Linked DNA regions of Mus musculus. The protein of the gene in region 1 purifies or fractionates together with the protein of each later gene. This does not show direct contact. Links are inferred from orthologs where the notes say so. Each region holds a gene or a part of one and is shown in the gene's direction. Other genes may lie near its edges.

Region 1 (4,145 bases):
AGTGTTCTTAAGCACTGAACCATCTCCCTAGACACTAAAGATGTCTGTTGCTGTTGTTTTTCAAGACAGAGTTTCTCTGTGTAACCCTGGCTATCCTGGAACTCACTCTGTAGATCAGGCTGGCCTGATTCAGAGATTTGCCTGCCTCTGCCTCCTGTGTGCTGGGACTAATGTTGTGTCCCACCATCACCTGGCTCTCTAAAAAAAGTTTTTTTAAGTATATTTCTTTTAAAATTCTATTTTGTTGTTTGCATTATAAGAATGTGTTGCTTGGGCTGGAGTGATAACTCAGCAGTTAAGAGCACCACTGACTGCTCTTCCAGAGGTACTGAGCTCAAATCCCAGCAACCATATGGTGGCTCACAATCATCTGTAACAAGACCTGATTCCCTCTTCCAGTGTCTGGTGACAGCTACAGTGTACTCACATATAATAAATAAAATAAACCTTAAAAAAAAAAAAAAGAATGTGTTGCTTGTGTGGTGTGGTGGTGCATGTCTTTAACCCCAGCACTCAAGAGGCAGAGGTAGGTGGATCTCTGTGATTGCAAGGCTAGCCTGGTCTACAGAGCGAGTTCTGTTAAACAGAAGAACCCTGTCTTGGAAAGAAAAAGAATATATATGTGGTGAATGAGACAAGAGTGTTTGTCTAGTGTGCATAGAACCACGATTTGATTGCTAGTACCACATAAATTGGAGACACAAGCCAGTAGTCCAGTAGGAAGATCAGAAACTCAAGGTCTTCCTGTTTGAGTAACAAAGTACCTTACTTCCTGGATTGGAGAGATGGCTCAGGGCTTGTTGCTCTCCCACAGGAACAGAGTTCAGTTTCCAACACCCACAGAGTTTGAAACGCTTGAAGCTCTAGCTCTAGGGCATCTGATGCCCTCATCTAGCCTCCAAGAGCACCTACACACAGGTGGCAGACACACATACACAAATAAAAATAGTAAATCTTTGATATTTTATTTCTTAAATAAATAAATAGCCCAACAGGGGCGTGGTGAGGCACCTGTAATCCCAAACACTCAGGAGGCAGCAGGTGCCCACATAGCAATATGGTTTCAAACACATAGAAATTCAGAAGAACAAACAAGAAATCAAAAACCTTGGTAAATTCAGAGGGCCCTGGATACAGCCAAGAAAGGGATTAGGATCAGGATGAAATGTGTTTGCTTCTAGATGGGCAAGTGCTGAAGAGAGTACATTTGTTTGTGAAGTGAGAAAGCAGCATCGGCAACGGAGAGGTTGGAAACACGAGCAGAGGATGCGACAAAGAGGCGCCCGGCCCCACGACCCTACATCATAAGCAGCGAAGGCGACGCAGCACCTGCCGGTCGCAACAGCTTCCGAAAAACGAGGCCAAGTGAACAAGAACGAGATCGCCGAGCCCCGCAGACTGCTGAGAAACAGAAGGGACTTGGGGGGGAATAAAGAGCTGGACTTGACTTCCGGCACTCTACCGGAACACACAGACAACGGCTGCTGTCGCCCGGTAGCCCCACCCCTAAGGCGGGGCTGCGCCGGAAGAGAAACAGTCCGCCGGAAAGGGAGGGGCCACGCTCGGGAAAATCTCGTGCGCCGCTCTCACGTCATCAGAGGGCGGAAGCGCAGACTGCAGGATGCGGTTCCAGGTTGCGTTGCTCCTGCTGAGTGTCGCGGTGGCGAGTAAGGACCCCCACCCCAGCCCAGCTCACTCTCCCCTTTAGGTTCCCCATTCCTCACCTTGGTGGGTCGCTACGGGAGCCGGCGTCTTTCTTGTCTGGCCCGACCCTGCTCTAGCCATCTCCGCTTTCCCATTCGGCCATCCCCGCTAGGCTCTCAGAAGTCAAGCCCGCTTCTCTTCTTCCGAGGACTTACTGTTTTTTGTTTTTTGTTTTTTCTGTTTGTTTCAGGAGCTCTGCCGTCCGTTTATAAGAGAGACGCCGACTCAGGTGACTCTCAGAATCCTCCGAATCAGCCTTCCAAACAGTCCTCCACTCCCCTGCCTTCTTCTAACCAGGTAAAGACTACAAGGCCGACCGACGGTCAGGGGCAGAAGTCAGATAAAAAAGACCAGGACAAGACGACTTTGGCAGCAGTTTCCAGTAAGGCGGAATCTGGGCCGCGGACCGCCGCGACCGATCACAGTTTGGGTGATTCCAGAAGGCAGCCCGAGAAAACGGATGCCGAGTTGAACGAAACTGCGCGGCCCCTCTCACCAGTCAACCCCAAACTGGAAAAGTCTGATCAGAGCTCCACAGAAGATTCAGGCAAGCCCACAGGAGGTAATTCTGGCAAGCCCACAGGAGGTGATTCTGGCAAGCCCACAGAAGCTGGTTCGAATAAGGCCACAGAAGATGATTCTGGCAAGTCCACGAAAGTTGATTTGGACAAGCCCACCTCCAAAATCTCCCCAGATACGGAGACTTCGAAGACTGACAAAGTCCAGCCAACTGAAAAAGGACAAAAACCAACACTTACTTCCAAAACTGAATCTGGGGAAACACTGGCAGGGGACTCTGACTTCTCTTTAAAGCCAGAGAAAGGAGATAAGTCTTCAGAGCCTACTGAAGACGTGGAAACCAAGGAGATTGAAGAGGGTGACACAGAGCCGGAAGAAGGCTCACCACTTGAAGAAGAGAATGAAAAGGTGCCGGGCCCTTCCTCCAGTGAGAACCAAGAGGGGACACTTACAGACTCTATGAAGAATGAGAAGGATGATCTTTATAAGGACAGTTCTGGAAACACCAGTGCAGAGAGCAGCCACTTCTTTGCATATCTAGTGACCGCTGCTGTTCTTGTTGCTGTCCTCTATATTGCTTACCACAACAAACGAAAGGTAAGAGGGGACTGGGATTTCCAGGACCCTAAGTTCTTTGTTCATGGACAGCTATCTGTCACTCATCTGCCTGTGAGCTTTGAGAATTTTAAGATCATCTTGTTTTTTCCATAGACCCTGCTGGGGCTTATAAAACTAAGTTTTGTAAATCAGGTGTTTTCATCATGTGACTTGTTTCCTCTCAGTTCTGCTGTAAAGTGCCAAGTTGGACGTGAGTCATGACCTGACCTAACTGTAATTCCCCTCCCCTAACTTGGAACTCAGATCATTCCCAGCCTCTTGATATGTAGACCTCTTCCCCCTTTTCCAGGCTTAAGATAGTTTACCATTTCTAGCTTCTATACCAACCATCTTCCATCTGGAGGCAGGAAGAATGTTTTCAGTTACATAGTTACTAACACCAAAAGTAGAAAGCCAACCAACAAGAGTTGAAATTGCACAAATGTACACATCTTTGGGGTTAAAGTGTTACCCATGAAACAACTTTAGAAACAACTCTATATGACAAAATTATTGTATTTCCTACTGAGCCATGAGATTTAGAAGACAATTTCAGTAACTTGACTTATTGAAGAGTTCAATTTGTGATAGCCTTTGGGCATAAAGAATGGAGAGTGTACATTCTTCATTTACATCTAAATGTCCATGTTGAGAGCAGTAAATTAGAGAAAAGTTGTTGAAACAATGTGTGGGCACAAAGCAAGTGTTTGTGGATAGGAAACAATCAGTAATTATCCCCACCCTGCTTAAACCTAGAACTCTGGCAAAAGAACTGGTAGACCTTTAACTCTAGCCCCACAGTTAAGCCATAAAGATTTCCACGGGCCTCAGCCTCCATCTCGTGGTCCTTTTTTTTTTTTTTTTTCAAGACAGGGTTTTTCTGTATAGCCCTGGCTGCCCTGGAACTCACTCTGTAGACCAGGCTGGCCTCGAACTCAGAAATCCGCCTCCCTCTGCCTCCCGAGTGCTAGGATTAAAGGCATCACCACCACCCTGCTCTCTTGGTCCCTATTAAGTAGTATAAAGGATTTTGTTATAACCAAACCCTTTTAAAATCTTTACAATTTATTACTTTTGTGGTGTTGGAGGTTGAACACAGGTGACCTGCATGCTAGACAGTTGTTCTACTATAGTGCTATATCACATATCACATGCTTGGCACAGCATTCGCCTAGTATCCACAATGCCACGATTGCACTCCAGCACTGGAAAGAAAGTGTGTGTGGGGTGTGTGTGTGTGTGTGTGTGTGTGTGTGATTTAAATAGGCCTCTCTGTGGATCTAGGTAAGTGCTTCTGATTTCAGGAACTGAATGAAGTACAGCAT
Region 2 (3,975 bases), on another chromosome or scaffold:
GAGGGGCAACAGTTGTTCCCACTTATCTGACTGTCCCCAAGACTCTTGGGTGTTTTCAAGCCTGTCATCTCTTCAGTATTTTACAAATCTCTTCCCTGGTCAGTACAGTGCTCGGATTCTAGTACTTGGAACGGAACTTCTTAGGGTATGAGAAACCTGTCTTCTGTGAAGGGTGTTTGCAGAATGGGGTGCCTGGTGGAATGGGGTGCCTGGTGGAATGGGATGTCTTCAGGAATGGGGTGTCTTCAGGAATGGGGTGTCTGGTGGAACTAAGAGGCTTTCCCTTCTCACTTCTGAGAAGTCTGAAGTTCAGGTGAGGCTCAGAATCCTGGTAGCCCAAGGCTTGCGGTGCTCTTTGTTCAGGATTGGGCAGACTGCCGCCCAGGGAGTTCCTTCCTCCTGCAGTGTGGGCAGATCTCAGAAATATTTGCAGGCTCTCAAGTACTGGAAATTCTTTTCCAGACACAGGGACTTAGAGTCACAAGGTCATGGACAAGGTTACAGTCACCAGAGCTGCTGTCAGGGAACTCGCTGCTGCCTGCTCTATTAAGTGGGTTACTATGCTCACCTCATTCCTTCAAGAAAGCAACCAATAAAAAACCGAAAAGATTTAAAAACATAAATTACCATCTATCTCCCCTCTTTTTCACGTTTATTTAAAACCACCACCATTCCATTTTGCTTTTAAGAGCAGGAAGGGTCATCCTTACAAGCAAGCGCCTTGAAATCTACCTTCCCTGTCTTAGTCTTGTTCAGACCACAGGGCAGTGCATTCCTGTTATCCCAGGACTCAGAAGTCTGATGCAAAAGGAGTGCTGCGAGATTGAGGCCAGCATGGGCTGGATGGTGAGTTCGAGGTCAGTCTGGATTATAGGATGAGACCTTATATTAAAAAAGAGAAAGCACAAATAAAAAATAAAAACCCAAGAACCCACTATTGCCCAAATAGTGAATGTGACGGATGGCGGGCCGGGGCGATCTCTGCAGACTGGCCCATTCCAAGTCTTTGGGGAACCGCGCGTCCGCGCCCGCTGCCTCCACCTGCCACTCCCGGGGGCGCGCAGTGGGCGGGGCGCCGCTGCCATGGAGACTCGGCTCCGCCCCCGCGCCCGCCCCTCAGCGTCGATTGGTCGCCCTTTGCTCCCTGACCCCGCCGCTGGGCCGCCGCTTCCTGCCGGGCGCCGAGCGCCGAGCGCCGAGCGCCGCCCGCCGAGCGCCGCGTCTTCCCGCGCCGCCGCCCCGAGCTCCGCCCGCCGCGCGCTCCGCCCGCCGCGCCGCCAGGCTGCCCGGCGGCCGCCCAGAGCGAGGATGCGGCGGCGCTCGCGGATGCTGCTGTGCTTCGCGCTGCTCTGGGTCCTGGGCATCGCCTACTACATGTACTCGGGGGGCGGCTCCGCGCTGGCCGCGGGCGGGGGCGGCGCCGGCAGGAAGGTGAGTGCCGCGAGGCCTGTGCGCCGACCCGGGCCTGCAGCGGGGAGGCGCCGTGCACCGAGAGTGCTCCCCGGCTCGGGGCAGCAGATGTGGGGACCCTGGCCGGGACGCGCGCCTCAAGTTTTCTCCGGGCCCTCAGGCCAGCGGCGCGAGCTCCGGCCCTGTCCGGCTCACCCGCGGCTCTGGGTGCAGCGACTTGCCTCCCGCATGCGGGGCGCGGGCACCCGGAGCCACGTACCGCCCTGCGCCAGGATCTTGGAGGCTGTTATCTCGCTGGCGACACTGCGCTCCACTCCCTGTGCCGGGATCATAGGGACAACCCTTCCGCCGGACTCCCTGCCCCCTGCTCCGTACTCCGCCCAGATCACCCCGGAGCCCCACTCCCTGCTCCGGGATCTTGGGGATCGTTGTCACCCGAAACCCGGTGCTCCCCGAGCCACATTCCGCCCAACTGGAACCCGCGACCCTCTCGTCTTGCGCCCAGATCTTGGGGACCTTGGTCGGGCTGGAACCCTGGTGCTCCAGTGATCAGAGGCGTGATCCCTCCCTATCCTCCCCATCCAGCACCCCGGCAGTGAGGTCGTACCGTGGTTCTGTCAGACCTCCCGTTCTACTTGCTACACTGCCCACCTCGGCCCTTGGCCGCTCACGGCGGCGGGAACTACCTAGCCTTTTGCGCTTGCATTTCCTAACCCCAAGTCCGCATTTCCTAACCCCAAGTCCCTCCTCGGTGTGTGTCTCTGGTGGGTTCGGTAGTGAGGCCGGGAGTCTTAGAGCTTACAGGTTCTGATTCGGCAGTCATCTCGGCTTGGGTACCGAGTGGACACCGAGCGAGCGTGGGATCCTTGCCTTGGTTGGTGCTGTCTAGGCTGTTGTATTCTCTCCTGAGGGGTTTGTGGTGTTTTACTAGCTAACGAGCTTCGAAATATAGTTATCTTTTCCAAAGATTTGTAGCCCTCCTTACTTGATTTTGAGTAACAGTACACGACCAGAAAAGAATGGAGGTAGATCGCGGCTTAGGGAGATAGGGGGTAGAATCTTGAGTAGGATGGACTGCCCATGAGCAGCCGCCGACTTTACCCCTACTCAGACACTGAATGTCAAAGGCACATGGCTGATTCCCTTTTTCTCTGGCATCTTCAAGTTATTCCTAGCTGCAGGTACGGAGGGAGGAAGGAAGGGAGGGAGGAAGGTGGAAGTGTCTTTTTGACTCTGGGAGGGGTTCATGATTCGTTTTTTATTTTCAGTAACGAACATGGAAACAGTGTTTCCCTGTGCCTGGCTTGTGTGGGGTGGACACTGACTCTCATTAGCCCTGCTTTCTGAATGGTTGTTGTGCTGGGAGCCCCTGCTTGCTAGGGTTTAAGTCTAGCAAGCGTGGCTGGTGGCAGCAGCCAGGTTTTTGAGAACCATGGTGACTCTGAGCAAGTGTGGTGTGTACGGACTTTGCTTCCCCAGGAGACTTCCCTCGCCTTGGGAATACCCTGGCTGCTGACAATGCTTTTTCCTAGTCACACAAAGATGAAGTCCTGGATCAGCACAGGTATGTATGTAGAAAGGCACCTGTGGCATCAGCCTCCCAGGGATGTCACCCTACCTCTGGGGGTGTCTGTTGGCAAGCAGTTGGCTTGTCTCCTCATTAAAGTTCTCTGGATGCCTAAGAGGTATTAGCTTTAGGTGTGAAGAAAGCCCAAGACCTCTTTGTGATCCGATGGAGACCCTATAGAAAGAGCAGATCAATGACCTGGGGTTCTGTTGTCAGTGAGCCATAAAATGTTGTCCTGGCTCAGGGTATCATGGTTTAGTGATCTGCAGGGCAAGGGAGTGCTGTGAAAACTGCAGATTTGGGGCTGGTGAGATGGCTCAGCAGGTAAGAGCACCGACTGCTCTTCCGAAGGTCCTGAGTCCAAATCCCAGCAACCAAATCCCACAACCATCTGTAACAAGACTGGATGCCCTCTTCTGGTGTGTCTGAAGACAGCTACAGTGTACTTACATATAGTAAATAAATAAATCTTAAAAAAGAAAACTGCAGATTTTGAAATTTCAGTAGTGCTCCCATTGAGGTAGCAAGGTGGATCCTGAGAGAGAGACAGAGGATGCCGCCAAACTGTGGAGTGCCATCTTGGATCCCTTAGTGGGTTTAAACACTAGACGACTCTCCACATTTAGCTCATCCCCTTGATAAGAGAAAATGTGCGATTCCTTTAGCGTGTACAACATGACTGTGAGGATAAGAAGAGCAGCTTTACTGAGAGCCTGTAGATTTTTTTTTTTTAGCGATAAGTAGATGGCATTTCTTCTGTGTTTGGTGCTGATCACAGCGGGCTCTTGTTCCATCTTTAGATAGTTCTTCATGCTCTGCTGTTTCATTCCCAAGGGGCCCCAGGCTTCAGGGTTGTGCTTTGGGGATTGTCTGAGGGCATCCTGTTAGGATTTCTGCTGCTTCAGCAGCCAGGCCAGGCTGTGCACTGTGTGCCCTGCCTGCTAAACAACAAGTCTGAGAACTGCTGTTCTCCATTTAGCAAAACCCAGGAAGTCAGC

The links.
Region 2: the proteins of Tgoln1 (region 1) and Galnt2 purify together in Homo sapiens (affinity purification with mass spectrometry; 3 studies listed by BioGRID and IntAct, counting the BioPlex papers as one, with this or other methods). This does not show direct contact. The link is inferred for Mus musculus from reciprocal best matches to the Homo sapiens genes TGOLN2 and GALNT2.

Annotation. Positions count from the first base shown.
Region 1 is NC_000072.6:72,614,199-72,618,343, reverse strand, and holds the start of Tgoln1 (trans-Golgi network integral membrane protein 1 precursor), read left to right. Parts: upstream 1-1,343; 5' UTR 1,344-1,621; coding exon 1,622-1,667; intron 1,668-1,894; coding exon 1,895-2,820; intron 2,821-4,145. UniProt on the Homo sapiens protein: May be involved in regulating membrane traffic to and from trans-Golgi network.
Region 2 is NC_000074.6:124,230,219-124,234,193, forward strand, and holds the start of Galnt2 (polypeptide N-acetylgalactosaminyltransferase 2 precursor), read left to right. Parts: upstream 1-1,175; 5' UTR 1,176-1,308; coding exon 1,309-1,431; intron 1,432-3,975. UniProt on the Homo sapiens protein: Catalyzes the initial reaction in O-linked oligosaccharide biosynthesis, the transfer of an N-acetyl-D-galactosamine residue to a serine or threonine residue on the protein receptor.